4 linked regions of the Drosophila melanogaster genome follow. The gene in region 1 interacts genetically with each later gene. Each region holds a gene or a part of one and is shown in the gene's direction. Other genes may lie near its edges.

What was found.
Region 2: of Ctr1B (region 1) and Grx1, changing one enhances a phenotype caused by changing the other (phenotypic enhancement), as found in Drosophila melanogaster (one study listed by BioGRID).
Region 3: of Ctr1B (region 1) and ATP7, changing one suppresses a phenotype caused by changing the other (phenotypic suppression), as found in Drosophila melanogaster (one study listed by BioGRID).
Region 4: of Ctr1B (region 1) and MtnB, changing one suppresses a phenotype caused by changing the other (phenotypic suppression), as found in Drosophila melanogaster (one study listed by BioGRID).

The regions. Positions count from the first base shown.
Region 1 is NT_033777.3:8,315,740-8,321,858, forward strand, and holds Ctr1B (copper transporter 1B), read left to right. Parts: upstream 1-1,872; 5' UTR 1,873-1,997; coding exon 1,998-2,057; exon of another isoform or gene 2,058-2,267; intron 2,268-2,698; coding exon 2,699-3,163; 3' UTR 3,164-3,466; downstream 3,467-6,119. Other genes in the region: Coq2 (coenzyme Q biosynthesis protein 2), read right to left, coding at 1-651; Poxm (Pox meso), read right to left, coding at 4,071-5,173; Or85a (odorant receptor 85a), read left to right, coding at 6,008-6,119.
Region 2 is NT_037436.4:18,865,166-18,870,557, forward strand, and holds Grx1 (glutaredoxin 1), read left to right. Parts: upstream 1-4,064; 5' UTR 4,065-4,165; intron 4,166-4,172; exon of another isoform or gene 4,173-4,261; 5' UTR 4,262-4,337; coding exon 4,338-4,481; intron 4,482-4,541; coding exon 4,542-4,646; intron 4,647-4,711; coding exon 4,712-4,807; 3' UTR 4,808-4,892; downstream 4,893-5,392. Other genes in the region: CG6865 (uncharacterized protein), read left to right, coding at 1-38, 101-256; CG14074 (uncharacterized protein), read left to right, coding at 1,174-2,184; Dysb (dysbindin), read left to right, coding at 2,715-3,480, 3,539-3,639; Blos3 (biogenesis of lysosome-related organelles complex 1, subunit 3), read left to right, coding at 5,143-5,205, 5,263-5,392.
Region 3 is NC_004354.4:11,851,962-11,858,966, forward strand, and holds the start of ATP7 (ATP7), read left to right. Parts: upstream 1-3,060; 5' UTR 3,061-3,390; coding exon 3,391-4,360; intron 4,361-7,005. Other genes in the region: p24-1 (p24-related-1), read right to left, coding at 1-301; CG10347 (uncharacterized protein), read right to left, coding at 896-1,380, 1,440-2,697.
Region 4 is NT_033777.3:20,501,736-20,506,605, reverse strand, and holds MtnB (metallothionein B), read left to right. Parts: upstream 1-2,987; 5' UTR 2,988-3,075; coding exon 3,076-3,100; intron 3,101-3,161; coding exon 3,162-3,268; 3' UTR 3,269-3,504; downstream 3,505-4,870. Other genes in the region: Or92a (odorant receptor 92a), read right to left, coding at 420-632, 699-897, 997-1,811; CG46441 (uncharacterized protein), read left to right, coding at 4,663-4,720, 4,774-4,870. UniProt on the Drosophila melanogaster protein: This protein binds cations of several transition elements. Thought to be involved in metal ion homeostasis.

The DNA.
Region 1 (6,119 bases):
CATGCCCAGAACCAGCTGGGGCCAGTAGGTGACTCTTTTCATCAGCGGATACGTGATCACGAGGCCCAGCGAACTGGCGCCCAACAATATGGATTGCCAGTTGAGCTGGACCAGCACCAAAAGACCCAGACTGAGCTGCGCCGAGAGGAATACTATGGCATCGAACTGACTGATCTGACCCGAGGCCAAGGGCCGCAACCTCGTGCGCTCCACTTTGGCATCGATGTCCTTGTCCCAGAGATCGTTGATGGTGCACCCGGCGCCGCGCATTATCAGTGCCCCGGTGCCGAACAGACCCAGCATGGTGAGGTCCGGCCAGCAGCCCGCATCCGCGCTGAGCGCTATGCTCCAGGCGCAAGGCCAGAAAAGGAGGTAGGTGCCAATAGGCCGGTCGATTCGCATTAGTTGGGCATAGGGTTTGGCGGCCGACACGAGTTCCTGCAGCGGCGTTTGCTGCTTCACGGGCTCAGTGGCGGTACTCGAACTCCTGGAGCATACATCCTGCAGCCGGGACTTATCCCAAGTGCTCCAATCTCCAATCAGAACACGCGCTGGTTGCCGGGGCAGCATGTGTTTTGTTGTTGCCGCCGCTGCATAAGAGCTGCGGAAGTGCCTAGCGCTCTGGAGTCGCAGGTGTCGAAGCGCATACATTGCGATTTGCCTTGCACTAGCACCTTCAACGATTAAAGCATTAAGTCACACGATGTTAAGTTGTATTTGTTCGTAAACTCACAGTCAAAAAATGGCAAGATGTTTAATGGAACTTTGGTTGGGAATGTCAAAGGGCTGCCATCCGGGTAAAGGCAGACAAAGAGTTGCCGGATAGATGAAAAAACAATATGATCCGGTGGCACTGCTGCATTTGGCGATAAAAATTTGAATTTAAGTTTCAAAGACAAATATATTAAAGTTGTAAACAACTTGTGTTAATTGTTAACTTTTGAGTTGTGTTTCACCAAAGTCATATTTATATATCTAAACACAGAAGAACATATGCGGAATGTAGTTCTTCGTTTTACCAATACTAATAACTAAAGCTTCTTTACAGTTATCTCCACCTAAGCAGTTTAGCAAAAGCTTTTGCTCTCTTTTTTGCGTAGACCCAACCATTTACCCCTCTGCAATATCGTTAATGTTTTGCGCACGTCGCCCATTTTTCGAAATTGGCACACGGCGCAGGAATGTCCGTAGAATTTATGCACACGGCCGCAGAAGGTTTGCGCACGGCCATCAATTTTGGCGGCATTCTATCCCAGTTAGAAATAGCACAGTAAGAAATAACACTCTAGGAAAGCCAAGTGGACTAAGGCAGACCTCCGGCGATCCGGCGGCCGACGGTTGCTATCGCTCCCATGCCGGAATATGGGCATATACCTACGTATGAATGTACTCGACTAGAGCCATAAAACCGTGATCGAAGCGAAGAAATAATGGAATTATTTCAACATCATGTATTACAGCAACAATTTCAGGGGGTTGTATTAGCCCATGATTGATAATCTGAATTGCAATAAATTCTGCACACGAATCGATTGTCGAACCTTTGCCATGAGTCCATAAATTAAGCTGCAAACCGCAGAGAAACCCACGACGCATCAATTATGGATTTTATCTCTCGAGATAAAGATCTGCAACTGATACCCAGAATATATCTTTTGATCTGACCTCTAACACTGAGATCTGCATGCATTTATGTTTATTTACATGACTGTATCTGGGCTGCCTTTCTTAGTGTGGGGCGACTATCGTTGGTATCGCCGCTACTGGGTGATAACGCTCTTTCCCATTGCCCATAGATAAGCGCACTTTCCTATCGCCGCGTCGGGGGATTAGGTGCGATTTTCTTTAAAAAACCACTCGCGAGCAGCGGGTTTCAAGCAGTCAACGCTCTGCTCTCAGCACCTCAGCAGGTCTAGCTCTTATCACTGTGCCTCCCCGATCGCCAGTCGGATTTTCCACGCCTTCTATCTATATCTATACTACACCAGCAGCCCAAGATGGATCACGGCTCGGATGACAGCACCAGCACGGCCAAGTCCTGCCCTATGATCATGGTGGTGAGTACGCAGTTACACAACTCCTGTGTCCAACAATTTTGATACAAAATCACTTACCACTGCGCTAAACGCTGTAATTTAAAAGTCACTCATCCAGTTTAGCTGAATGAGATTTGCACGGAGAGCAAACAAATATCTCGTCCGACTTGGAATTTGAATTCTCTGGCTAGTCACTCCCTAGTATAAGTTCGTATAAGTATGTTTATGTGCCAGAAACCACAACGAATTATTCGCTCTCTAGCGCTTTATTCGCTCTCAGCAAATACAAATAATACAAATTGAATATGCTCGAACAGGGTGTCTCATGAATAAAGATTCATGGGTTAAATTATACCGCTGTAAGGGAATTATAAAAAAGATGTTTAATTCGAATGTTATGTTTATGTTGATGTTTAATTGGAAAGCTTAAGCTTGATATTTTATAAAACTAAAAGTAATATTAAACTTTTGTATTAAGGATCATCTTAGCAAAAGTGACCATATAGATATACCTAGATATTAGATATCTAGGAATCTAGATATAGATACGAATTAGAAAGTTATTAAGTGGTAATTAGTGGTAGTTAACTGGTATTTAAGCCTCATCTTACTGATCTTATGGATTCTTATGTAGTTAATCTTTCACTCTCGCATCCTTTCAGTTCCACGCTGGACACTGCGAGCGAATTTTGTGGCGCGGATGGGTGGCGTCCACTGTGACGGAGTTCGTGCTCTCCGCCCTGGCCATCTTCCTGGTGTCCTTCCTGTATGAGGCGCTCAAGTTCCTGCGACAGCAACTGGCGCGCAGGGAAGCCCGTCGAGCAAGCGAGCAGCTGGCGGCGGAGCAGCGTAGGAAGAACGAGGCTCCGGCAGCCGGAGGATGCTGCTCGGAAGCTCCCCTGGCGGAGCCGAGGGAGCAGACCTACTGGCAGCGCTTGTTCGCCTCGTCGCACATCGTCCAGTCCCTGCTGAACCTGCTGCAGATCGTCATCTCGTACCTGCTGATGCTGATCTTCATGACCTTCAACTACTGGCTGTGCCTGGCAGTGATCCTGGGACTGGGTCTGGGCTACTTCTTCTTCGGCTGGAACAAGAAGAATCCCGACGAGAGCGAGTGCTGTCCTTAGATCAAGAATATCGCTCTTAATTGTTTATATATCTTGCAATTGTTATAAACTAAGCCCTTATCAGTTCTTGGTTCACACATCAAAGAAAAAGTCCCGTCCCCACGTAATTATACAAATTGTTTAAAAATACAATTTTATTCGATAGTTACACTTGGTTTAATTGTTATTGATGTAATCGTAGCATAAATTAGTCAACTAGTTTACTTAATGAGCATATTGTACAAATAGTGTAGTCATGAGAACAAGAACCTATACAACGCGTATTCATCTAAAGCGATTAAAGTACTACTCAATACTTTTGACTTTACAATATGTTTTTATAAGCAATACACTTTATTTTTGACCACCCCGAACTCAAAACGCAAACAATCCGATATGAGACAAAAAAGAAGGCAAAGTTAAATCTCCAGGATTACATGAAATTCGTTATGAAATGCGAACATTACCAGGTCTGAGTCCTGACAGCCCACAACTCACATTTGAAGGCCTAACTAATCACGATACTCACCTATCACACAATAGTACATATTTTAGTTTAGTTAAGATCTTGAAAAATCTTTTTAACAAATATTTTAGCTGTGATACATCTGGGCAGGTAATATAACTAAGCAAACCTTATGATTATGTGAATCATCTCGCACACATTTTTTTACGACACTTTATCTATTTGTACTTGCCTAACCACACACCAGTATTTGCAAGCTTCTTAGTTAAAGTTTAAATTATTTTGAAATTTCCGGGATAATTATAAGTTCTTTTAGTGCATTTGTTTAAAATTTGAGTGACAAGTGAGCGCCATGATGAGACCATTCCCTAACTAGCTCTTAGACTAGAGTAACCTAGACTGAACAACCGCGATCGAAAGTAGCTAGACCCGCAACCAATCCGCTGATTATAGACCACCCAATCATAAGCCCGTGGCTCCAGCGGCCATCATTCCGCCGTGATGATGGTGGTGATGCATTCCGCCGTTCTGGAAGTACATGTAGTAGTTGTACGGCGACTGCTGTCCCGCCCCACCCTCGCAGTCGAGCAGTGGCTGACCACCGGCCGTTCCCGCCACCGGCGAAGGAGTCATCGGCAGCGGGGATACCGTACTGCCCATGCCGCCCATTCCACCCACTCCGACGCCCACTTGGCAACTGGCGCGCAGGGCAACAGCCTGATGGTGGGCCAGGATATCGCTGACCGAGTGGGAGGAGGGCCAGTGGGCGGCAGCGGCTGCGGCGGCCACACTCCTCAGCTGGTGGGGATGGGGCACTGATCCCTGACCGCCCGCTCCCTGCGGCGGGGATGGACTTCCACAGGGCGTCTTCATGCTGTAGGCCGCCGCAGCACTGTACGGCTGGTAGATGGAGTTGTACAGGTGGGCGTGGGCATGGGCGTGGGCGTGCACATGATGGGCACTTGCCGCCGCCGCCGCTGACTGATGATGATGATGGTGGTGCGGATGGTGCGGTCCACCGCCGGGATTACCCAGATTGCTCAGATTAATATTATTGCTGGCACTCGTGCCATTGTTTTGTCCACCATTGCTGGACACACTGCCGCCACCGCTGCTGCTTCCGCTGCCCATCACCGTTCCCGGCGTGTGCTGATGCCCCAGGCTGCCCAACTTGTTGCGCAGGATTCTCGATATGGAGCTCACACTGGGTACATTCGTTTTGTCGCATATGCCCTCGCTGAGCAAACGGTCCCGGATTTCCCACGCAAAGATGCCGGGATCTCGCTGCTTCAGTTCCCTGATGTAGTTGACCACCTTGGGTGTGGTCACGCGCGGCTTGGATCCCCCAATTGCGCCGGGTAGTATGGAGCCCGTTTCGTGGTACCTGGCCAGGATCTTGGACACGCAGCCGTGACTCACTCGCAGCTGGCGCGATATGTCGCAGGGTCGGATGCCCAGGCGGGCCAGCTCCACGATCCGCATCCTGGTCGCATTGGGCAGCGGACGGCCGTTGACAAAGACGCCGCCCAGCTGGTTCACCTCGCCATACTGCGGACACTGCGACTCTGCAAAGAGAAGATTGCGGATTAGTTAGGTTGGTAACATAAAGGAATAAAGGAAGTGTCTATACATTTTAACATAAATATGAAAAACTGTTTTCGGAAACTGTTCATATGCCAGAGTATGCCACAGTATCATCCGAAAGCTATTCCCGGTTCCCAGTACAAAATGCGAACAAAGAGCGTTGCCTGGGAATGGGAAGGCGAACAAAAGCACATTTGCGTCTAATTAGTTTCGGTGGCAAATGAGTGAGCCGAGTGGCTAGGAGTGGGACCTGCAGAAGCGGTGGAGCGGCGGAGCGGAGGAGGATTGGCGAGCGGCAGCCCAAGTTGAGTGGAGAGCCGTTTGTTCGGCTGAAAATCGCTACCATTTGCTTCTTAGAACTGCGGATGTGGGTGCCCCGATTGTGACTGGGAAAACACAATTTGAATGCCCGGAACGTGCGGAAATGCACTTTGAGCGATGACGCAAAGATTTCCCCTTGGCGCATAGAACACTACTTAAGGATAGGTGCACATGGGTGTATCCTATTCTTGAGATTGAAGAATGATTAAGGTTCAGCAGAGAAGCTATTTTCACAGGACCATAAATAAAGTAATTAACAACCACTCCTGCGAAAGGGACAATATGGGAACAATTGTCAATTATTTAAGACATGAAGACACACCCCTCAAAACAACCTGTGCAATTTTGCACGCAAATAAAGGCGGTTCTTTTCGTGAATAACTAACTAGCATTGGACAATTAAACAACGCGTATAAATGCAACTAGTTTAGGGTACTGCCCTCAGTCTTCAGGTGACAAAGTTCAAGTCAATCGAAACCTCTAAACTTTCAAAAATGATTTTTAAGTACATTCAAGAGCCAGTCCTTGGATCCTTATTTCGATCCCGGGATTCGCTGATCTACTTAAACAGATCCATAGATCAAATGGGATGGAGACTGCCGCCAC
Region 2 (5,392 bases), on another chromosome or scaffold:
GTGCCGGTTATGAAAACGGTCAAATCGACTCGTGTTGGGTGAGTATTCACTTGGCTGATACGGCACACATGTTATGCTCCGGGTTTACTTACCTTCACAGGCGGATTCTGGCGGTCCGCTGATGTCCAAGGAGCATCATCTGGTGGGCGTGGTGTCCACGGGGATCGGCTGTGCACGTCCAGGTTTGCCCGGAATCTACACGCGCGTCAGTAAATACGTGTCCTGGATGCAGAAAGTGATAGACGGCAGGAAATAGTTGGCCAGGAATCTGAAACATAAAGATTGTGATTCACCTGTGATATTAGTCGTACTCGATTATGTGATCTTCTTCAATAAACGTTACTTTAACCAACTAGAAATTCAATTTATTGCGGCCGGTCGTCATTTTTTAAACTTTAATCGATGATTGTGCCAATCGATATCGTTGGACTAATTTGTGGTATTTTGCAGAAAAGATTACTCTGACAATATTAATCGACAAGAATATCGCTAGTGTAGGAGGAACGGAGGAACGATGGAATTTTGAATAATTTATTCTTTCATTATTGAATTCAAAAAAATGCAATAACGTTTAAAAAAATATCTAACTACCTATGTACGACTTAAGTTCATAGGACTCAAGAAAGTATATGAAATATGCACTTGAAAACTTGGCTCCCCACGCTTACTGTCCCACCTGCTGCCCCGCCCGACCGACTGTCACCCGTGGCCCAACGAATGTCTTGACGTCTGCCCCGCCGTTTCCCTAAAGAAATGTCCTTAAAAGTGGTCACGCTCTACGAGTGGAGAAATTCCCGAAAATGTGGGAATAGTTAGTAAGATCTTTATTTTATTTTTTGCAATTCACCTCCAAATAACGAAAAGAAATAAATAAATAAAAAACGTCCCCATGTTTTGATTTCCACCGTTCCGTCATCGCCGCGAACTCATCGACGCTAATTTAACGCACATACAATAATCGCTTTATACTTAGTATTTTAAAAATACTTATAAGTAGCACTTACCGTCCGCGGTATTTTTTGTTTCGCAGCAATTGGTATTCAATTAAATGCCATAAACAAACACAAAAAATGGAAATGGACGCAGACCTAACAAAGTAAATATTTATATTACAATCCGATATATTTTTAATTAATTTGATGCTCTCACGTTAGTCAGGCGATTGCCGAGCTAATGCGCGAGATCGAAGGTGCAAATGCCAGTGTCAGCACCTCGAAACAAAGCGAACGCAAAGTGAATCCTCTGGGCAAACTAAACAAACGCTTCTTAGGCCGCACCATAAACACCGCGATTCGGCATAATGATAGAGAAAAGGAGCGCACACAGGCAAATTGCCGACAGAAGCTGCAGGATCTGGATGATGTGCACGAAAGGAGGAAGTCCAACTACTTTTACAGCCGCGATGCACCCAGAACTCAAAGTGTTGATAGAAGCAGAAGTTCCAGCAGAAGGCGCAGCAGGAGCCGCCACAAAAAGGCCAAGAAGCATCGCAGCCGAAGAAGAACTAGGAGCAGCAGAAGTTCAAGCCGCAGTCGAAGTCGCAGCAGTTCACATCGGCGAAAAAAGCGCAAAAAGAAGGTTAAAAAACACAAAAAATCACACAGAAGACGAAGAAGCAGCCAGAGCAGCAGCGGTTGCGATTGGGAATCCGCACCCAGCGAGTCGTTACGTATACCCCCGCCTTCAGATGTGTTCCTAAACCACTCCAAGCAAATGGCTCTTGCAGTGGCCATGGCCTATGGTCAATTACTAAACCCGAGCAGCCAAAAGAAAGCCAGCGAGTCTAAGGAACACTCCTCCTCTCCTATAAGCGATATATTCCGGGAACTTATGTCCGACGAAGAGGTGGACAAATCCGAGAAGCCCGAGGCCCTGTCCATTTCATCCAGCGACGAAGAGCCAAATGTTCTCACCATTAAAGTAAGCTCGAGCTCCGAGTCCAGCGGCAATAAATCAAGCTCGGACTCAGATTCAGAAGCAAAGAACAGCGTACGCAGCTGTATAACCCTAGAATCTGGTGATAATAGTGATATTGAGATAATTGAGTACCATGAAGAGCCCAAAAAAAAGGCATGTGAAACTGAACCTGCGTCTGAACCTGAATATCCGTCTCAATCGGATAGCACAAATCAACAAGTGGACGATAGCACAGCTGTCACTACAGTGGACCTGACCGAGGATTAATTAGGCTAAACTTTAGTTAGAGAATCGTTATGTAAGATCAGAATGAAATTTTAAAGGAAACAAACTGAAGTTGAACCAAACTAAGAATATTGTTTTTATATTATTATTACAGATATAAGCTCTGCCATAGATAGATTCATATTTGGTTGGTTTTTTTTTAAGTTATGTTTAATAGTAATATACTAAATATACCACCGAATGATACCCTGTTGTGTCTGTTTATAATATCAACTTTGGGTTCATTTTTTTATTTAAATTATAAAATAAAAATGCAAAATTTGAAATGTTAATAATACTTATTAGTTTTAGTAAGTAATAAAAACCACGTGCCAGAGCTCTTGCCATAGTTGATATGCCTCTCGTGTACGGCAACAAACTGTTGCTCTCTCTCTCTCTCTATGACCGATTTTCTCTCAGCACCTGCCCGAACAGCTGATTCTTTATTTACCACTCAATTTTCGATGGAAAACGCCAGCGCGAAGACAATTAGAAATCGCTAAGTTAAATAAATAGAGATCCGTTGTCGCAAGATGTTCGGGAACCTGAAAAAGAAGCTTAGCAGTGCGATCCAGGAGGGCCTGGTGATCTCGGAGAATCTGCAACAGCAATATCGCCAGCGTGTCAGTTCCGGAAACTCGGGGAGTAGCCAAGCCAGTGGGATTACGACCCCCATTTCGCCACTGGGCCTTAACGAAAGTCTGTCGTCCAGCAGGAGCAGTAGCCTCTCCCTTAGTGCTCCCTTCCAGCTAACCGATGGAGTGCCCAGTCACCTAAATGTGGCAGCTGGTTGCAGTTTGCTTGCCAAATACGAGGATGATTGGCAGCAGATTCATGGCGCCAACGAAAAGAACGCGGAGAAGGCTGCGCAGATTGCTAACCAAATCTCCGGCATCCAAGACCAGGCCAGCCATCAGCACAGGATCATGAGTGAGCTGAACAGTAGTCTGGCGGGAATTCCCACGTTGATAGCCCAACTGCAAAACAGCTCACAGGTTCTTAATTCCCTGGAGGAAATGGGTAAGCAGTTGGAGATTGAGCTCGAGAAGCTGGAGGATCTGCGCGAGGAGTGTGAGCTCCAAGAGTTCATCCTTGAGCAGCAGTTTCAGCTCTCCCGGCACAAGCAAAAGAAACTGAACGAACTGGAGCAGTATCGCCAGCAAATAGCCCAGAAACACCAATCCAAAATCAAGGATCAGGAGCAGACCCTCCTGAAGCTGCAGAGGGAACGACAGGCTGTCTTCGACGACGCCTTCCGGGAGGATATGGAGGAGTACAAACAGCGCGGCCAGCTGACAAGTTAGTCTGATAACATAAACAAATATGATGCACTAAGTTAACGCCCCTTTTTTTTTAGAAATTCAAACCACCAGCAACAAGTTGGCTCTGGAGGAAGTCGTCCTTGAAGCCAACGAAGTGGAGACAAAGGATGCTCTGGAACAATTTCTAAATGGCTAACTCACATTGTTTGCTCATCTCGCAAAAGACTACAATTTGTGCCTTTAAGTGCAATAAGCAGTGTAATTGTTAAAATATTTTAACGGGGACTTCTGAAAAATAACTTAATTTTTTCACAACATTTTCTTACTGCATTTGAACGTTAAACTATTACATTAAAGGGAATTGGACATACAAAGATTAATTATCAATGCCAAATTATTTTAACATACAAGGCATTTTAACATAATTTGTTAAAGTAATTTCAAAATTGCTTTACTATCTCGGACAAAATATAGGCAAATTTAATATAAGTTTCAAATAATGAAGTCAAAGTAAAAGTGAATTTTCAGGAATCCCCCTAGTGTATATGAAATTTGTTGATGTGGCACCGTCACTGCATGTTTTGACAGCGCTGAATAAACATTGTTTTTATAACAGTCGATTTTCTCTTTTCTTAATAGACACACAATAATAGATTCCTTAAACTTAGCATGATTATATGGAAATTAAATTAAATATTAAACATGTTTATGATTACGAGATGGTAATTTCACAACGTGGCAGCTCTGGCGAGAGCAACAACAGCTGATTGCTAATCAATGATTAAAAAACTGATTAAATTAGAGATAATTCTCCGCAGCTTACACTTGTCGCAGCTTTCATTGCTCCCCGCATTGCCCCCCAAGTTTCCGTACCCCCTCCTGGATTTCGAGCTTATGGGTGCAGTTGGATCCGCTTTGAGATCCCCAATAGTCGACATGTCCACCAAGCAGGCGAAATTCGTTGAAAACACCATTGCCAGCAACAAAGTGGTGATATTCAGCAAGACCTACTGTCCCTACTGCACGATGGCCAAAGAGGTGAGAAAGTTGCGAGACCTTGAAAAGTCCCAAACAGTGATAAACATCTTTGCGTTCCAGCCCTTCAAAAAGCTCAATGTGGACGCCACCATAATAGAACTCGATGGAAATCCCGATGGCAACGAAATTCAGGCAGTTCTGGGCGAGATTACCGGTGCCAGAACGGTGGGTGCACTAAATATTTTACATTATAAAGATTAATTATCATTTGTAACCTGTGTACTGTGTAGGTTCCCCGCGTCTTTATCGATGGCAAATTCATTGGCGGTGGCACTGACATCAAACGAATGTTCGAGACAGGAGCTCTGCAAAAATATTTCCAATAAATAGTGTTCTTACTCTGTTCAGAACTCCGTTTTATGTAAAAAGTTTGTTAATCTTCAAAGTCCTTAATAAATGCTTTTAAAATTTATGTTTTGCGCTTATTGAGATTACATCGTCTTCTGAGTAATGGGCAAAGTGTTACTAATACCATTCATTATCCGTTAATAATTTTTATGATTGTAGTTCTACGGATCTGTTAGCATAGATATCACAAACATAAGAATATCCCCTTCAACTGCGCCCATGTGAGCAACAGTTTGCAGTTTTAACTGATCTGGCAGCGCCGTAACTGCAGTAAATAAAAAATTGTTTACAATAGTATTTAATAAACTGAATGATGGCTGATTTGGTGAGCGGTGAAGCTTCTGAATCCGACGAGGAGCTGCAGGAGAAGAATAAGGTTGTTGAGGATATCATTTATAAATAACAGTCCAATAATAAAACCATTTTGTGACAGATTTTTGCTGCTGAAATTTCGGGCGAAGCCTCCGAAGAGGATGATGAAGACATTTACGAGCAAGGCCGAAGCAGCAACCAGGTCAACAGCACGGCTTCCATTTACCGGAATAATCTGCTTCAGCGGAAAC
Region 3 (7,005 bases), on another chromosome or scaffold:
CCGAGAATTGATTGCCAAAGCAAGCGGTATACACGCCCGTTGTCTCGGCAACGAACTGATGACTATCGAAGGTGGCCTTCTCCAGACTGTAGATGACCTTGCCCTGCGGATCCTTCAGGGTGACGTCCACGTCCAATTGGCCACCGGCCGACACCTGGAACTCAAAGTAGGCGCTCGAGTTCTTCTTGATCTCCTCGTAGAAGCAATCCACCGCGTTATCGGCCAGATCGAAGGTGAATTCGACGGCAGAGATGCAGTGCATCATCAGAGCTACCGCAAATACAACGATTTGTGTGTTCATGGTTCGCCCTTTTTGCTTTTTGGTATTCCCTGCTGGATTCGTATGATTCCCTGCTTCACCGCCTGTTATTCTTCCAGCTGCAAAAGAAATGCGCTCGGTCAGTGCCAAGATTCCGGCCAAATGCTATGCCACCTGTCATTCCAATTCCATTTACTTACCAGCCTCCGTCCGGATTACGTGACGTGTTTTTGTTATTTGTGATATGCTATCGATATCGCCAGCATTCGGCGTTTTGTGTTATTCGCCGCACGATAGGTCTGGGGTTCTGACGTGTCAACACTCTTTTCCGCCACTCGCTGTGCAGCACTGCGGACCCACGTATATGCTATCGGCTACTGAGCAGCAGAGTTGCCACTCTTTTTTTTTCTTTGGCGCCATTATCAAAAATTGTTAAGCACTTAAAAATAAACTTTAACAATAAACATAGTTGTATACATATATGATTAAAAATTTACATATATATATTTTTTTTATATATTTATATTATAAATTTTAAAAGTACTAATTTTTTAAAAATGTACATTTCAGAATTTGAATTGTAAAGCCATAATTCTTTAAGAGTAAATGGAGAAAAAAAGAAAAGCGGAACACCGTCTACACCTGCAGGTGTATCAGTTCTTTCTTGGAGAGAACGGTGATCAGATTGTTTGCCGTGGTTATGCCCAGAATCTCGTCAATCTCGTTGCCCAAGGTGATGAGCTTTTGTTTACCCAAGGTGACGGGAGGTCCGTTTCGCCTGCGGAGACCATCAGCCGAATTATTAGCCGGAAAGTAGACGAGAACGTAGCGTACAGGGTCACATATGGCTACGTAATCCAGATCCGGACTGCAGACGGTGAATTTCCGCACAACCTTGGAGGCCTGCACGTAGCCGAAGGCGTGCAGCTGGCCCTCGTGGCGGACACTCCATTCATCTGGACGACTGGGCTGGTACATCTGTAGCCATATGGAGGCGTCGACGCCCTGGCGGGTAGCAAAGGCGGCTGGAAAGCCAGGACGCAGCGTGGTGGTGAGCACCAGTGGCGGGGGACCAAGAAAAATAGTGTGGGTGATGCACCCGCTGGTCAAATTGAAGCGTACTAAAAGAAGAAAATGTATTTATTAAGCATATGCAGCAGATGTATAATAGAATGCTTACCCATCTTCATTTCTTCATCAGCGGATATTAAGTCACATTCTTCAACGGGATCCTGCAGACTTGGAATGGGCAGTGGTGGAGCTTCCATTGGATGTACTTCCTCCGCTACGTCATCTTTCTTCTGCGCGAACAAACGTGGCCAGTTCTGAATCTCCGCCTTGGTTAGTGACAATTCTAGGCCATTCTCAGCCAACTTAAATGCACTTAAATCATCTCCCACACTGGCGTATAACTCTTCGTCGAATATAACCTCATCCAGATGCTTTACAACGACAGTGGTTTTAGAACCGCTCACGTTAAACTCTTTAGCGGATGCAGTTGAAGGAACATTGAAACGAATGAGCACATTATTATCCGTTTGGGACCAGCTATAACTAGGTGGACCTCCATTTTCCAGCTGGCCATCGTGATCACCTGAGGAATTCAAGCGGGCAGCGGCTGCTTCATCGGCTGCCCGACGCTCCTCGGGAGTCTGAACATCGCGGTTGCTGGCAATGACTAGGGACTCGGCGCGAGGCTCAAAGGCGCAGTAGTGCACAGAGCCAGTGGTCTCCAGCCGTTGACAGATATTATATGACCACTCGTCATTGGTGGGCGAATGAGTCCACCGTGCCCAGGTCAAGTCCATGTAATAGACGTGCGTCTGATCTTGGCCAACTGCATCACGGCGTGCCACATGACCGGCCACCAGCGAGATCTGCTTACGTTCCTGCAGCACATCCAGCCGGGCATCGAAGAGTGCAAAGCCGCGATGACCACTGTTATTATTCACCGGCGAGCGTGTAATCCGTTGCCACTCCTGCACATCGGTGCGCGTTCTGTCGCCGGTGTCCACCAGATGGTAACTGGTTATACCGTCGCAGATCACACAGAATCGTTCCGAAACGAAAACTATGGTGTAGTTGTAGTCACCCGACCGATGTAGTTCCCCATCGCCCTGATCCCTATAGTCCACCGTGAGGACAACGCGCTGGGCACGTGCGCGTCCAGTCTGTAGATCGTAGTTGCACTGCACCAGCTGGTGGCGCTTGTTAAAGAAGTAGCTGCAGTGGCGCATCCATGGATCGGCTACCAGGTGATTGTGTCGGGCAAAGAGCTCCGTGTGCAGCAGCGAGAACTGATTGCTGCTCGGATCCAGCACGTAGGCATCACATCCAAGTTCCTGGCGAAGAACAGGCACCGAATCGAATGCCAATTTGTAGCCAGAAAAGTCCGAGCACACCAGGTTGCGATCCACTTTCAGTTCCACCACCGGCATCTTGCTTTACTGCGCCAATGCTGAGTTGGATTATATTGGAGATTTCGAAAAAATAGAGATAGATATTCCAAAACAAATCAAATCAAATCGGTAGTAGACCGGATAGAGATGGCAGATGACCGTTCGGCCGTGACTCGTATCGACTTTTTATCGACAAGTGGGGGATATGTACGATACCTTGGCAATTTTCAAATCTAATAAGATTCCTTTTTTTAGTTTGAAATTTAACTAAACAATTAAATAGCTAAAAAGAAAACATTAGTTAGTCACATATTTTTTTATCGAATCGAAAGTTTAAGCAATGTATCGATATAGCCCACATCGGTATCTAGCTCATCTCGATAGCGCCTGCCTATCGACGGACGGCCATCGGTAGTTGCGTGCCGTGGGAAAAACATAACGGGAGCGGAGCAGCTGTTGCCTGCTAATTGAAAAATTAGACACAAGAACGCAAAATTGTGAGTTTCGTGTGGAGTTTGGCCAAGTGAAAAGCGTTGGCGGGAGGCGACTACTCCACCACAACAAATCCAGTAGTAGCTGCAATACGACTCACCCGACTCCACAAAGTTAGTTTAGTGACACAATTCGGTACGTGCGATAGGGCGAGGGGCAACTCAAAAGTTCAAAATCTCAAGTATATCAAGTAATTCCGCATCGTCGTGTTCCGCCCACCCAAAATAATGCACATTGAGGATGCCAAGTGACGAGAGAGTAGAAGCGACGATGTCCACGGTGCGCCTGCCCATTGTGGGCATGACTTGCCAGTCGTGTGTGCGCAATATCACAGAGCACATTGGCCAGAAATCGGGAATCCTTGGCGTGCGCGTCATTCTCGAGGAGAATGCGGGCTATTTCGACTACGATCCCCGACAGACGGATCCCGCCCGGATAGCCAGCGATATCGACGACATGGGCTTCGAGTGCAGCTATCCAGGGGATGCAGCAGATCCTCCCGAAACTCCCGCCAGCGCATGGACCAACATACGGGTGGTGGGCATGACCTGCCAGTCGTGCGTGCGCAACATCGAAGGCAATATCGGCACCAAGCCGGGCATCCATTCCATTGAGGTGCAACTGGCGGCCAAGAATGCCCGCGTTCAGTACGATCCCGCCCAGTATGATCCCGCCCAGATAGCCGAGCTCATCGATGACATGGGTTTTGAGGCTAGTGTGCAGGAACCTCGATCGCCATCCCAATCGCCGTCGCCCGCCCCCGCCTCATCACCCAAAAAGAGGGCAACTCCTACTCCTCCACCTCCTTCATATGCTCAAAATGGTTCGGCAGTGGCCATACCCGTCGAACAGGAGCTACTGACCAAATGCTTTCTGCACATCCGAGGCATGACGTGCGCCAGCTGTGTGGCCGCCATCGAGAAGCACTGCAAGAAGATCTACGGCCTGGACAGCATCCTGGTAGCCCTGCTGGCCGCCAAGGCGGAGGTCAAGTTCAATGCCAATGTTGTGACGGCCGAGAATATAGCGAAATCAATCACGGAGCTGGGCTTCCCCACCGAACTCATCGATGAGCCGGACAACGGCGAGGCGGAGGTGGAGTTGGAGATTATGGGCATGACTTGCGCCTCCTGCGTCAACAAGATCGAGAGTCATGTGCTTAAAATAAGGGGCGTGACCACCGCCTCCGTCACACTGCTAACAAAGAGGGGTGAGTGTTTTTTGTGTACTTAAGCTAAGTGGCTTTCTGGAACTAGTTTATCCCGAGAGAATTTCAAATCACGTTCTGGGTCATGCATTCGAATCGAATTGCGAGTCTGGAAGCATTCCACAAGTGGCAGTGCCAATTGTTATGCAATATTTATAATAATAAACACCTGGAATGGGGCCATCAACCGATATGCACCTGTTGCGCTTTATTCTTGCCCAACGAGCACAGGTGTTAAATTCGATCATATATCTTGTATATCTTAAGGGATCGAATAATGCAATGGGAGTAATGAGCTGTAACAGAAGCAAACTATTGGCAATCGTTAATTGATGCAACTTGTGGCAATAACAAATATTAAATAAGCCATTCAAGGGAATTTCGTAGAATGCCCTTATTTGTTTTGCATTTCGCAGAAAGCGACAGCTGTTCCTTTTTATTAACCTACTAGCATCGAGTTCGAGTAGAATCGGTGCAAATGTTTTTTTTTTTTTTATTGTTCGCTTTTCACAATTTCCACAATTGAAAACTGGCCCAGCAATTGTTTATTGCAACTGATATACTCGATTTACTTTATGCTTTTTTTTCTGGGGAGGGTGGCAGGTTCGTTGATAAGAAAGTGCGAGGAGCACTATACTCATATGCATGTATGTATGTATGTACTTTATAAACCATACACTACTAACTATGCTTTCAGCAAACAATGCCAGTGGCAACTAGATTAAATAGCTGGAATTCACCACGCTCGTGTGCGTGGGCAGTAAAGCTATCTGGAACACTTGGATGAGGGGAATTCAATGGCAAGCCGAGAGTCGGGATATTTAAAATATTCAAGATATTCGCTAAAAAACACATAATATAATTATTGTTTTGTTGGGCGCTGGCAGCTCGAGTTTTATTTGCCAGATTATAGCGTGTTTTTTGCGAGTGTTCAGGAAGAACTTATATATACATATTTATGTATGCGATTAGCTGACAAAGAACAAATGAAATGATTTGAGCTCTTTGTTTTCATAAACTTTATACTGCCAATCGCATTTACCAATTAGCATTTAAGCCATGAAACTGAAAGTCCGCCTGGCCAAAGAAAAATCAAAACAAAAGTGAAAGAGCTCCAATACGCCTTGAAATACAAGTACATACATATAATGTATGTACATATATATGTATGAATGTATAATAATTTATATACCCGCGATTGGCGGGCAAACGAGCGAGGAACTAATCTCGCTTTTGTCTGGAAAAAAAGAGGGAAACCTCTCTCTTTTTCAGCTTTGCAGTCTTTCTGCTCCGCATGCGTGGCCACGAACTCCACTTCCACTTCGTACACAGCGAGAAATGGGGCTAACTATGATATAAGTATTATATAGAAGAGTGCTATCTACTTCGGCATATGATCAGCATATAAAATCTACTAATATTTAAAAGCACGAATCGTACAATGTTTAGCAAGTTTCTTTTATTTTATGTTAAGCACGCACTTTTTCTTCGAGTGCATTTCTAGTTTCATTCACCTTCACTTTGATTTAGAGCTGTTTTTACTTTACTTTTGCTTTGCCAGCTCAAAAATGTTGATTTGAAATTAGTGAACTAGTGGCGAATTATGCAATAACTTGGCTTTGATCCACCACATTCACATTGAATTCTGGCTGATTTACGAATATCGGTTTGCATACCCGTATTTATGTATGTACTAGATGTACGTGCGCCGTTTTGAGAAGCTCAATTGCAAATTCAAAAATGAAAATGCATAAATGGGGAGCCTCGTAATTATGATTGCAATGGAACTGGTTTTCGATTTTTTCGCATTCGACATGGAGACATGCGCACGGTGGAGAAAAGCGAGCGAAACTGTTGCGATTAAATGACACTGAAAATAATTTCAGACATTCAAAAGTGGTATGAAAACAGCGAGCCCACATGAATATCAATCGCTGGCAGCTGTATGATGGTATATAAAGTACAATATCGCTTGTTTTTTTAAAGTTTATTTGTTTATTTTGAATTTACATATATACTTATTAAGATACTTAATTGTATTGTAATCATTTTCGAAAAACAATTACGTACCAGTCATGCTTCTGAAAGAGTTCATAGATGTTTTGGGCCAGCGAAGTTGGACTTCTGCCATATGGATTGGTCCAATTCCGTGCGGCTTCTTATCTTTCAATCAATTAGCACTTAAACTTCATTTAACTAGCTTAACTTGTTGTTTGCCAATTGTTACTTGGCTTGTTTGCAGTTTGTTTGCCGCAAGTCGGTAGTCGAAATTGGGAATGTAAACTGTTGAGCAAAACATATGTTTTCCTCCGATTCTTATCGTCCGGCGATAAGTGAACGACAGAGAACGAACCACAGGCAATCTCAATTCAAATTGAAAATGTTCTAAAATTGTAACAACGAATCGCGGGCGATAAGATGCAATGGGCGGGCAAATAAAAGAAAGAAAGAACAAAAAAACTGAATCGAGAGCCCTAGAAAATGTATATTTCGACGACTGCAGTGGAACTTGCATAACTCATAAGGGATAGATTAAGATACCCACATATATTACTTTTGCTACTTTACTTTTGATTCGTTGAAATTCGAAAATGAAGTTCGAAAAAGCAATTTCTTGTGTAAACACACGAAACGCATCAATTATCAAT
Region 4 (4,870 bases), about 12 Mb from region 1:
AGTATGCAAAGTATTCTGTCGCGGGAACGTTAATGTTCTTTTCATGGGGACTTTATGTCACAGCCTTAAAGCATGTATTAATTAATAACTTTTACCCTCTATAACATCTGTAAAGTGTTAACAGAACAGATCTTTTTTATGACAATTTAAGATTTGTTTTATTAATTTTATGAATTTTTATATATTTTTCACATTAAATAACTTGATTTGTTGTGGTTTTTTTTAGGATAGAATACTGTTTTTTCTTAAAGATCACAAGTTGTTATCTTGTTATATAACATTATGTGTACTTATGTATTTGTATTTTGCAAACGAATTCAGTATCTTATTTTGCAAATATGTATTTTTCGTATTCGATGGATTGCTATCAATATTCCGATGTACCTATGCACATACATATATATGTATCTAATCTTCCCTTAACCATAATATGTGGTGCGGAGCAGTGCAAAAAACTGATACGACATGCTGATTACCTTCATAAAGGTATTAAAAGATATGGGTGGAAAGGTAGGCGGTCTTATAGAGGCGGGCTTCTGGCTGCGCGCGATAATAAATTGCAGGATGCGTTTGTATTTGGTGCTGCATGGCAACCAGTTCTGATTAAATGCCGAATGGCCAATCCGAGAGCTCTGAAATGTACATTTCTTGTTAATACTAGACCGAAAACAAGAAAAATTAATAAAAATTAAACTCACTGAAGATATCATTTCATCGCCGTAGTAACAGACCACAAAGACTTGAACCAGCGAAGCTGAAAAAAATATGAAGTACAACACTATGTCCTCCACATTTGAGGCTGTAATCTGAAAGCCAGCGAAGCAAATCACGAGCGATGCGGCAATAAAGTTCCACAGGATCAGGAAGCTGAATATGTTGTTGACCTCCTCGCTGAGGCTGAAAAGTGTATTATAAGAAAAACATGTAGTAGTTTAGTTCTTATCCTTAATTTGGATGAATTGAGAGATATATATAATATATAACCGTCAAACTTACTCCAGCGCCCTGGCATGATAGACGACCAAGTTGTGCAGGTATTTGATATTTTCTTCATCCGTATGATCACCTCCTTCGTAGGCCTCCAAATCATTCGCTATAAAGTTGAAGTGCATGGTCAGCTGGGTTATGGTCGCGATCAGCAGGAGATCCACGCAGACGTAGGAAACTCCGGCCACATAGGCACAATGAGCCAATCCCCAGTAGGAAAACCAGTAGACCGTCAGATCCGTTTCTGCGTCGTAGGGAAACAAAATGTGAAATCCGTAGTTGCGCTCAAAGATTTCCGATCCCATAAGGTAATACTTTATGGTCGACTTGATGGCTGGATAAAAGCTAAATGACGAGGTGTAGGTCATGCAGAGGATGGTGAATAGGGTCATGACCCTGTTCATGTGTTTCCGGTAAAACGATACGTTATACTTCCGCTGCGCTTCTAAATCTAAAGGAAATATCTCCTTGAGATCATCCAGCAATCTGACCAATCGCTTTCTATTCACTGTGAGACCGAACTGCTTAAAGTCGGCCATGAAGCTGAAGCCAATGCACGGTGCCACTGCAGTGGCCTCCAAAAGAGTAGTCGTCGACATTATATGGACTATAAAGTACGCGATTTCGCCCACCACATAGGCATTGAAGTTGAGAAAACCGAGTACCAGATAAAAACGTAGCAGGTAACGCCTTATCACATTCGGATCCCTATCGGAGTACAGATCCTCGCCGATGGTCTTGTAGAAAGTCATCGGAAACCGGGTAAGTTCGTCGAAGGTGATGACTTCATCGTCACTTTTTGGCTTACGTTTGCGGAACAGCATGATTCAGCTGTTTGATCGGCTGACAGAATAAGTCTTAGGTTTATATAGCTCCCATCAAAAGTGTCCCATTAAATTCGCATGAGACACCCTTCGCTGACCTCATAATTACTTAATTTAATTTGGGGTAACGGAACACCTGCCACTTGACTTTCTAAAATATTGAGTTCTACAGGAATGTTCCCAGGACTACACGGAGAAAAATCGAAGGACACTTTGGGGACGAGAGGATATTCATGCAATTTGTGGTAAGGAACTGAAGTCATACTCTAACTGAACGGTGCTGGCTGGTCAAGTTATATATGTTTATGTGATGTTAAATATAAACCTTGTGGTCAACACAAGCACAAGAATCAATTATATATTCATTATACTCGTTAAAGATATTTTTTTTTTAAGGTAAGGTAAATAAAATGGTAAAAAAGTAAAGGTAAAAAAACTAGCCGAGTTAGAGACTGCAGGAAACTTATCTAAGTCGTTCTTTTGTTGCAGGTACACCTAGCAAAAAAAAAAACAACTAAGTCAGGCCTATTTCTATATTTGTTCTCGAAAACTTTTTTTTTACTAAAAGTCATAAATATATATAAAGTTGTTCCGGGTGTTTGGTTTTCCGTGCAACGAACTGTTTTCGTAGCTCCCGCAGAGCTTATAGTTTTTGCCTAATTTGCAGCGCGTTTTTTCCTCTATTAATTTTTAGTTAGCTTTCCACATGTGATATTTTTATGGCATTTACGCTGGGTTTTTTTTGAAAAGAGTTTAGTCGTAAAGCGTTTTTGCAGCCAATATGAGCATTTAAATTTGTTTTACTACAGGAAAGTCTTTTATTTATTGTGAAAAACCCCGCTGGGTAGCTGCCTGCGCTTTTCATGCTTTTTATTGTGTGCTTCTGGGCTGTGGGCTGAGTCACGATACGCGGCGTATACGCAACGTATACGCAACGTGGGCAGCTGATAAGCTGATGAGGAGTTCGTGTGCACCGAGTTGGCGAGCAATCGCGTGCGCAAAAAGAATTGCCTGGCCTATCGTCTGATAAATTGCGAACCACTCGCCCCAGACTTGCACACGACGTGATAAGTTGGGTCAAACAAACAAATTTGTTTTGGATTTGTGCAATTTTGCACTCGTTCGAGTTCGAGGCAATCGAAGTGGGTATAAAAGTGGGGGAGTTGCCGGACTGGGTCATCAGTTGAATAGCCAAGCAACAAGCAAACAAGTGAATATCAGTTCGCCTCAGCCAAGTGAAAGTCGAGAAATAGATACATACAAGATGGTTTGCAAGGGTTGTGGAACAAGTAAGTGGTACAACGCAGCAGCAAGCTGTATAATTGACAATCGTTCTCGATTCCTCGACAGACTGCCAGTGCTCGGCCCAAAAGTGCGGGGACAACTGCGCCTGCAACAAGGATTGCCAGTGCGTTTGCAAGAATGGGCCCAAGGACCAGTGCTGCAGCAACAAATAAGCGGGCCAACTATATAACTAACTGTTTAACTTCTAAACTGGAGCTTAACTCCCAACGAGTTGGCCGCAATAAATAAAGTTTATAAAGATTTTGAGCATTTAAAAGTTTCTGCCGTTAACTTTTTGTTACTGGGCGGTCGGTCATCTTACCAAGCGATAATTATATTTTCGGCTTTTGGCAGCTAAAACCAATTATGGTAAAATAATAAACGTGAGCTGGCATTCAGTTAAGCAAACCGCAAAATAGAATTACATGAAAAATAAGCAAACGCAATGCGACAATTTGGGCGGGATTTGCAAATATTTGTATGTTCGCGGACAGCTGCACCGGAATTAAAATCCAATCCATCAGCCGTGATTTTGGTAGAAAACTCACCGAAAGTCCATTGAATTGTGCGCAAAACGGAACATAAATCGAAATAACATTCAATTTTCGTGGCCATCGAACTGAAACCAAATTATTTAGCCGCTTTTATCTGCGACTGAACTTTGCCCATATGCCAATGGCCGAAATTGCAACCCACTTTGTTTTGAATATAAAATGTATTTCGCTTTTGAGGCAATTTCTCAAAAATGTTGTGCCGATTTTATTGCATTTTCAAAAAATACATATATATTCTGCTCTACTAGCAGCAAATTCCTCCAGCGTTATGTTGGGTTTAATAGTCTGCCAATGGAATAGATACGTTTTGTATCGGCCAAATAATAACTTTCTGGCCAAGTTTTATTTATTTAATAGCCTGCTACTGCTACCCATTTCACACACTTTTGTTTAAAGAGCGGTCGAGCTTTCCATTCGAGTGGCTAGGCCTGAGTTTCCAACTGTCAAAACCAAATGACCAATTAAAATACAGGCACTTGTGGACAATTTCAAGCGTCCGTTTCCGGTGCTTGAGCTGTCAAAATATTTATGAAACAACAGTGGTTCAGATCCATTAGCATAATCAGAGGTGCGTGATTGAGGCGTTTCCCAAAGACCTTTGTTGCGTGCTCAGGTCGTTTTGTTTTCTTCCATTTTGCTTTGCTCCCTGCCCGGATGTAAAGTAGCAGTCTTTTGGCAAATCAGGTGTAAATAATGTGACAGGGAAACGCTCTTGTAATGACTACCTAGGACCTATACTCCACACAAAAATTCCAACAAAGAGTATGTTAATTACCATTTTTAAAATTAGCAATGAAAGTTTTCACAATAATAATAAAATATATTTATATATAAATGAATATGAATATAAAAAGTATTTGTGTATGATTTCCATGACAACTGCTATGATGAAAAGCGGTTTGTATTATTATTAATAATAACAAGTTATTACCCTTGCATTTGGTGTCAAAGTTGAACTTCATTAAGTTTCATATATAGAAAATACAATTACGAACGGGACAAGGAGTTTTAAAATGGAGCTCGGAATCTTGGAAAATGGGCAAGACGAATCGATCAGCTTAGTTGAGACAGGTGAGGTGGCAGACCCACAAATAATACGTTTTGTTTTAGTATAATGATTTCAGGTAATAAGGATAAGCCTAAAGGAGCTGCTTGGATAATAATTATGGTGATACTACTAAATGCATGCTTGATTGCTCTGGCTTTTCCATTATATCTGTA